Callithrix jacchus: one gene and its partner. The protein of the gene in region 1 binds, or shares a complex with, the protein of each later gene. Links are inferred from orthologs where the notes say so. Each region holds a gene or a part of one and is shown on either strand. Other genes may lie near its edges.

Region 1 (4,055 bases):
AGCCTCTACTGAAATGTTCTAGTGTCTACTCCAGACCAAAGTATTCTTTGCACCTTTTAAAAATGTCTTCCCATCCATCTAATCACCCTTTCCAGATGCTCCGGCACTCACGAAGTCTCCAAGCTTTCCCCACCAACCAGTCCTATTTGGTTCCCAAAATACTTCTTTCTGAACTAAAAGCATCCACGTGTTAAAGCCGAGTCCCCCAGCCACAGAGTGCAAATACATGAAAAAGGAACAAAACGTAAAGCATATCAAGAAAAGGTCTTTGCAAAGAAAAAACAAAACAAAAAGCCAGTCACAACAGGAAAATTCACCAAACTTCCAACAGAGGAAACCTAGAACCGACCTGAAGCAAGCCTAGCGCCTTCCTTCCCAGGCCTTTGCCTACACGTAGAAGCCCAGGTTCTACAGGCTCTATTTCTAACTTCGATCCGAAGGGTTTTTTAAAAATCAGCTACTCACCAGTTGGTTTGAGAAAATCCATCGGGTATCTGGAGTAAGGAGGAGGGGGAGACTCTGAAATTAAAAAAGCAAGAGAAAAATAAAGGCCCAGCCATGAGAAAAAGAGATAGAAACTTATGATAACAGAGGCATTCTTTTAGCCCAACTGTTTGTCTTAGCTGTGGGGGTTGGAGGCAGGGCCGCAAGGCGGTGATTGCCTTGATATTTAGCTGTCAGATAAACAAAAGAGGCCGCCTGGCGCCAGCCTCGGCTCTCCGCTCCTCCACGTCTGCGGCCGCCGCCGCCGCGCTCGGCTGGCCCGGCTGGAAACCACCGGCTCAGCCGGGGCCGCGCACTTCACAGTTCACAGGGCGGGGGGCGACCGTGCCCCCTCCTCGTCCGCAGACTCCAGCCCCAGTTCCCAACAACACCGGCTCCCCGCCCCAGCCCGGCCCCCAGGGGTGCAATTCACCTCTGCCCCCGCTGGTCCTCTGGGCACCCGCGCGGGGGACACGGGGGCTCCCCATTCCCAGCGCACTAGGGAGATGCATCCCAAGCGTGCTGGTGAACTTGGGGGATCTGCGGACACCCGGGGTGAACCCTCACAACACACTCCGTGTACAGAAATACAGAGCAAAGGAAGGAACGGACAAAGCAGAGAGGATAAAAGCGAAGGAGTTTCAGGATCTCAGCCGAGAAGTCCAGGCCCCAGCGCAATAAGCGGAGACAACGTCACCGAGGCGCCGGGGGCCGACTATCTATAGACTTCTCTGTGCGGAAGAAAGGAAAAAGTAGGGGACACCCAACTTCTCCTGGCTGTTTGTTCCTCAGCACCCTGGAACTGGCAGAGTTGAAAGGAGATACCCAGTTCGGCCTTCCATCCTAACCCTCTTTGCCCCAAAAGTCCAAGGCTGCACGGCCACAGTAGTATCTGAGCCACTTGTGTTCGAGTGATTCTCCGTATTTACTAAAGGAGCGGAGTCCTTCCAGCCTTTACAGCTCGCTTCTCCCAACCTTCCTTGGCGGGCTTGGACCAAATCCAACTCGGCCACACACCTTAACGCCTTTCCGGGTGCGGGGAGGCGTGACCCCCACCTCCCTCTGCACCCCCTTGTTGATCCGGAAATGAAGGCGTCTAATTTTTAACCGCACGTCTGGTACACTGTGTGCAGGAGCAGTGCCCACAGACCCTTTCGGGGCAACACAGGAGAAAACCTGACAGGGAACCCCCAGGGAATGCCCTTTGAGTTTCCTCGTGTCCCTTCTCTACTTTCCCCACCAAGTCTCCTCCCAGGAGGGGCTGTACACTCCCCCTGAAGGGGTGGCGGCACACGCACTGCCCTAGGGGCTTTTCTTCCAGCACTGGCGCGCTGGAAAATATTGGGGGTGGCCGGGCAACTTCTTACCTAGTTCGCAGAGTCGGCTAAGGTGATGGGGGTTGCAGCACACCAGCTCGGGGTTGATCTTCCCGTAAGATTCACAGCAACACAGCCTCTTGACTTCCGAGGAATGCCTGAGATCCGGCCACCTGAACACTTTGCACAGCAGGAGGGGGAGCGAGTAGGACGAGGGCGGCTGCGCAGGCTGCGCGCTGGCGGGCGCCCCCGGGCCCAGCCTGCAGTCCAGTCGGCCAGGCAGCAGGAGGCACGCGGTGCGCGTCCCGCCGCGGGACTCCACGGCCTGGAGCAGCAACTCCAGCTGCCGCTCCTTCAGTTTCTTGAGCACCGAGTGCGTGAGCGCCTTCAGATCAGCCTCTGCGCCCCCGGCCGCGCCGGCGCCCGCGGCTGGGGGGTGGGGATGGTGGTGACCTTTGGCACCTCGGACCGCCTTGCCCAGGCAGCATCCAGCCCTGCCCGCGCCACCGCCACCAGCCCCATGAGCTCGACTGTCCGTCGCCCCTTCTCCCCGCAGCTCGCCTCCTCCTCCGCCTCCCCCCGCGCCCTCCTCCTCGTCCTCGCCGCCGGGCGCACGGCTCCTCCAGAGACGCCGGACGAGCGCAGATCGTTTGGTCCTGAACATGCGGGGCGAGGAGGCGAGGAGAAAAGTCGTTTGCCGGCTAAGGAGCGAACATGACCTCCGCACACCATGAAGAAGTCGGGCGCCGAGTTGGGGCAGCAGGCGCAGGCGACAGCAGCAGCAGCAGGGGCCCGGGCAGTAGCGGCGGCGGCCCGAGGGGCGCTCCGTGGCATGCGCCAGTCTCCCGGAGGCCGGGGCGCGCGCGGGGGCCCGGGGGCGCCCGCCGGGGATCGGGGGCCTGCGCTCCGGCTGCCCCACCCCGCGCGGCCCGCGCCCTGCGCGGCTCTCGGGCCCCGGCGCGCCCCGGAGGAACCCGGCCGCCGCTTCCCTGGGGACGGCCGAGCCTGCCCCCGTCGGCGCCTCCCCAAAAACAGCCCCCCCCGCAGTGGCTCCCGAATGTCGGACTCGCCAGCCTCGGCTTCCTACATGGAAGATCCGCGGGGGCAAAAAACGAAAGGCGTTCGGCTGGGCTGCTGGAAGAAGGAAAAAGCCTCTTTCCCCCTTGCTAAGCAACTTAATTTGGGGGTGGGGAGAAGCAGGCAATTAAAAAAAAAAAAAAGCAAGCACGCGATTTATTTTTTTCCTCTATATCCTTAGTAACCGGATCTCCTCGAATTTCGTGCACACGAAGGCTGAGGGGAGGGGGCCGAGTGGACTTCACCCCGCATGAGACGTCTGGCGAAATAAGAAGGTTCTCTCAAAACCTAACAACCAAAATATGCAAAGCCCCAAATGAAAAACACCACCTCCTCGAACCTTGGAGGTCTGGGGGCGTCCGGCTGGAGCTGGGGCTTAAAAAAAAAATGTTTACGAAGTATAACAAGATGTTTGGGGGGTGGGAAAACGCATCCACGAGTTACAACCCCCCTTTTTTCCTTGCAGAGCCCCGCTGGTCTTCCTCTCCTTTTCTTCTGCCAAAAACAAAAAAAAAATCGTGTATTTTTTTAATCCACAGAAAGCTTTGACTAGACCGATTCAATCCTGCGCATCTGGGTGGTTTAGGGGAGTCTCTGGTCTTCCCTCCTGCGCGCCTGGGGGCTCAGGTCCTCAGCGGGGACTTCCTCGAGGCTGGCGGGGGCGCAGGGACAGAAGATGCTGCGGCGGCGGCTGAGCCCGGTGGGGCTGACAGCACAGGGGAGGGCGGCGCGGCGGCGGCGGCGGGCCCCAGGCGGGTAGCGCGTTCTTGCCCCCCTGGGCACAAGCTGCTTGCTAATGCGGGGGCCGCCGGTGTCCCTTCCCCTGGCCGCGGTTGGTCGCCGGGGCTCCCCGCGTGGGCTGCTCGCCTCGACCCAGCTGCGGCGGCAGGAGGCCCCGGTGTTCTCTCGGCGCCTCCTCCTCCGAGACTCTCCTCGTCGCGCCCGGGAGCCTCCTTGTCCCCCGTCCGCCCTCTCCTGGCGCTCGGGTCCTTCTGCCGCCGCCAAGGGCTCGCCGCGCCGCACTCAGGGGCTCTGGGGCCCGGCGCTCGGCGGCTCGGCGCCGACGGGCTGGCTCTGTCTCGGGCAGCTCTCTCCCGCGCGGCGAGCGGACCGAGCACGGCGCCCGGCTGGCTCGGCTGGCGCGGCTTGGGGACAGGCTCTTCCGTGCGCCGAGCAGCA
Region 2 (3,500 bases), on another chromosome or scaffold:
ACAAGTGGAGATCCCATCTTTATGTTGGGCAGAGGGTCTTGGAATGCACCCCCCTGGTTCCTGGGGAACCTGGGGCAGGAAGCTAGCTCCTCTCCCTCACAGTCCACACCCTCCCACCCTGATCTCCTGGGGAGTCAGGACAGGCTGGACCAGACATGCCCCAGTGAGGGCCTCAGAGACCTCCTGCAGGGCCCTGGCCACTCTGCCTGGCCCTGCTACCAGTCATTCCCTTCTCTCAGCACCAGCACTCTGGTACTGGACTGTGACCCTGTCAGGTGAGCCCTGGTCACCTCTGACCCACCTTCTAGACACTTCAGGGACACTGGCCTAAAGTCCACCTGATTAGGGGACTGATGAGACCCTTATAATGACAGAGATTCTCTCTAAGCAGGAAAGTTTAGCACGTGGGCCTGCTACGGGCAAGACGATGGTGGCATGGTCACCAAGCCTGGATTCCTGCCCTGGCACACCGCTCACACCTTCCATGTTTCTTTTTCCCCATTGGAGGGAAAATAAATCCCGTGACCTCAGTGAGTCACAGCTTCCTCTTCCATGGAATGGGGCTAATCCCCGCTCAACCAGGCTCTCCGGGTTGTTGTTGGGAGAACTGAAGGAAAAAGGCTTTGTAAATAACAGGCTCCAAGCTCTGGGAGCAGCTGTCATGGTCAAGCTGGTCAAGCAGATGGAGGCTCCCAGATACAAGCGGGTCTCAGCCTCCAACCCCTTTTTATTCATGCTGGGCCCCTGGCAGCAAATCCATAGGCGGAGGTCATGATGGAAAAGAGGCAGGTGCCCTGATGACCTCCTTTGAGCCAGCAATTCAGACGGAATATTCTGTCTTCACAGTGTGTCTGTATGTCTATCAGCATTTACAGTCCAGCTAAATTTCAGTACGGTGACACCCTTCACCTCACTCCTTCCAGCAGCATCCCCCCCAAGCCGTTAAGTGTAAAAGATGACCTGCAGGGAGATCGGCACCTCCGCCACTGAATTCCGCCCCCCACTTCCAGCAACCTGAGTGGCTTACGCAGAGGGAGCATCACGGCACCTTTCGGTGTGTTGTGGCTAAGTAGGGGTTCATGTGCAGCGTCAAGCTTCGGAGCCACTGAGACTGGGGTGGTTCCCCCACAGCTCCTTATCCAGGGTCTTGGCTAAGCTGGGCTCACAGAGTTGGAAAGTGCAAGGCCTCCCAAACACTTCAAAGACCCCTGCTGGCCAGACCCTCTTGGCTTTTTGGAAGCAGTGAAGAGGGGGAACCCCCGTGCCCGAGAGTGGCTCTGCAGTCTTTGCTTACACACGGCCCCTGCCAGGTGGCCACCTCTGCAGCGCAGAGCATTCATTACTGGAGAACACTCCTTATGCTGTGTTCTAGCACACATCTCGGAAAAACATCCCAGCCACCTTCACTCTTCCTGCCCACAGCCCGCAGAGACGTATATCAAATAGCCCCGCCTCCCCATCAGTCACCTTGCAAAGCCTTGAAGCCTTGGAGCGGGACTCGCGTGGACCCAGTCACAAACTGCAACAGCCTGGCCCTCCTTTCTTCATCAAACGTCTCCACCGCTTGCCAGAACCACCGGACGATGTTGCTGTCAGCCACACAGTGCTTTAGCCGCGTGTTCGACTTCCAGTCGTTCAGGTCTATTTTATCCAGGCCGCCTATGATCAGCTGAGGAGGTGCCGAAAGATGAGTTACTCCCAAAATGTATAAACCCACGTCAGGACACGCCTCCGAGGTACCCAACACACACACAAGTGAAAAGTCGGTTCCCAAACAAAGCAGCGGCTGTGTCCAAAGAAAAACTAGACAGTAGTTGAGACAGGAAGAAAGCAACGAACAGGAGACCTGTGGGACATGCCTCCCTCTGCCTCCTCCAACCCCAAGACCACGGTGCACAGCTACTGATGGGGCATCATCTTATAACCAAAGCAGGGTTTCTGCTCTGCATCGGTGAGGAGTGAGTCTCAAAGAACCACCCAGTTCACTGAACAGAGCTAACCATGAGTAAGAGCATGTCCCGGGGTCTCTCCAGGACACTCAAGGACATGTGGAGTTTCAAGTCTGAAGAAAGGAGAATTCAGCAAGAGTTACGTGGGGCTAGGGTAGATGGGACGCGTTTCTGCAACTTGCTTAAAAGTACCCCCTGCTGGGTGCAGTGGCTCACGCCACTATATTCCCAGCACTTTGTAGGGGCTGAAGTTGGGTGGATCGCTTGAGCCCAGGAGTTCAAGGCCAGCTTGGGCAACATGGCAAAACCCTTTCTCTACAACAAATACAAAAATTAGCCAAGCATGGTGACATGCACCTATAGCCTCAGCTACTCAGGGGACTGCAGTGGTAGGATCGCTTCAGCCTGGGAGGTCAAGGCTACAGTGACCCATGATTGCACCACTGCACTCCAGCCTGGGCAACAGAGCAAGACTCTGTCTTTAAAAAAAAAAAAAAAAAGACACAAAAGTTCACCCCAGAACTACTGCCCCATCCAAGCTCTTGGCTCCCAGGCTCTCCTCACTGGCAGTAGAAAGACTCGGAGAACAATCTACAAGGCTTGAGCTGTTTCGCACCAGAGATGGTAAGGGATGAATGAGTCACTATGTTCAAGCGCGTGAGTAGGACTGGAGAGACAGTATCCCCTTGTTCTTAGTCTAGTAACAGCCCGAATAAAAGGCAGTAAGTTGTGGGAGAACCAGGTTCTCCCAGGAAAGGAGAGGGCCGCGTGATCTCCCTGCTAGAGATCCTGAAAACGAGAGAAGCCACAACCACCTTGAACAGCGTCCCGGGAATTATTCAGATTTCCAACCACCATGCAGACATCTCACTGGTTACCAACTGACGTAAACACCCTCTACTCCCCACTGTTGCTCCAGCTGACTGTTCTGGGAACCCCAACAGCTCCTGGGCTTTCTAGAAAACAGTGCATGCCACACCCTGCATCAAGGATTTAAAACAGGCAGACGATGCCAGCCACAGGGGGAGCCCCTGAGCGCCCTGGGTGGACTCCACACAGCAGGCACGTACCTCCAGTTCCTTCTGGTCAAAAGGCTTCAGCAAGTGTTGAGGGATGAGTTCATTGAACCCCTTCTGCAGAGCTAAGAACTGGGCTTCAATTCCTCTCATAAACCTCCAGTTTACATACAACCTGGAAGAAAAACTCACAAGTTGGATGCAACACCAAGTGGATTTTCCTCCATAGGCAGGTTTTGTTTTGGTTTGAGACAGGGTCTCACTTCGCCCAGGCTGGAGTACAGTGGTGCAATCCTGGCTCACTGCAACCTCTGCCTCCTGGGTTTAAGCAGTTCTTCTACCTCAGCCTACCTAGTAGCTGGGCTTACAGGCATCTGCCATTATGCCTGGCTAATTTTTGTATTTTTAGTAGAAATGGGGTTTCACCATGTTGGCCAGGCTGGTCTCGAGCTCCTGACCTCAGGTGATCTGCCTGCCTTGGCCTCCCAAAGTGCTGAGATTACAGGCATGAGTCACCACACCCAGCCCATGAGCA

The links. Proteins that work in one complex are often made in the same cells at the same time.
Region 2: the proteins of SMAD7 (region 1) and SMURF1 are in contact, whole or in part, in an NMR structure (PDB 2LTX), measured with the Homo sapiens proteins. The link is inferred for Callithrix jacchus from reciprocal best matches to the Homo sapiens genes SMAD7 and SMURF1. Residues at the interface, in NP_005895.1 of Homo sapiens: Glu203, Glu205, Ser206, Pro207, Pro208, Pro209, Pro210, Tyr211, Ser212, Arg213, Tyr214, Pro215, Asp217; in NP_065162.1 of Homo sapiens: Glu313, Arg315, Ser316, Thr317, Arg321, Tyr323, Val325, Asp326, His327, Arg330, Thr331, Thr332, Phe334, Thr335.

What each region holds. Positions count from the first base shown.
Region 1 is NC_133514.1:92,053,799-92,057,853, forward strand, and holds the start of SMAD7 (mothers against decapentaplegic homolog 7), read right to left. Parts: upstream 2,801-4,055; 5' UTR 2,464-2,800; coding exon 1,851-2,463; intron 1,456-1,850; exon of another isoform or gene 996-1,455; coding exon of another isoform or gene 917-995; intron 520-916; coding exon 466-519; intron 1-465. Other genes in the region: uncharacterized protein LOC118146891, read right to left, coding at 3,500-4,055. UniProt on the Homo sapiens protein: Antagonist of signaling by TGF-beta (transforming growth factor) type 1 receptor superfamily members; has been shown to inhibit TGF-beta (Transforming growth factor) and activin signaling by associating with their receptors thus preventing SMAD2 access.
Region 2 is NC_133503.1:14,565,510-14,569,009, reverse strand, and holds part of SMURF1 (E3 ubiquitin-protein ligase SMURF1), read right to left. Parts: intron 3,141-3,500; coding exon 3,020-3,140; intron 1,670-3,019; coding exon 1,468-1,669; intron 1-1,467. UniProt on the Homo sapiens protein: E3 ubiquitin-protein ligase that acts as a negative regulator of BMP signaling pathway. Mediates ubiquitination and degradation of SMAD1 and SMAD5, 2 receptor-regulated SMADs specific for the BMP pathway.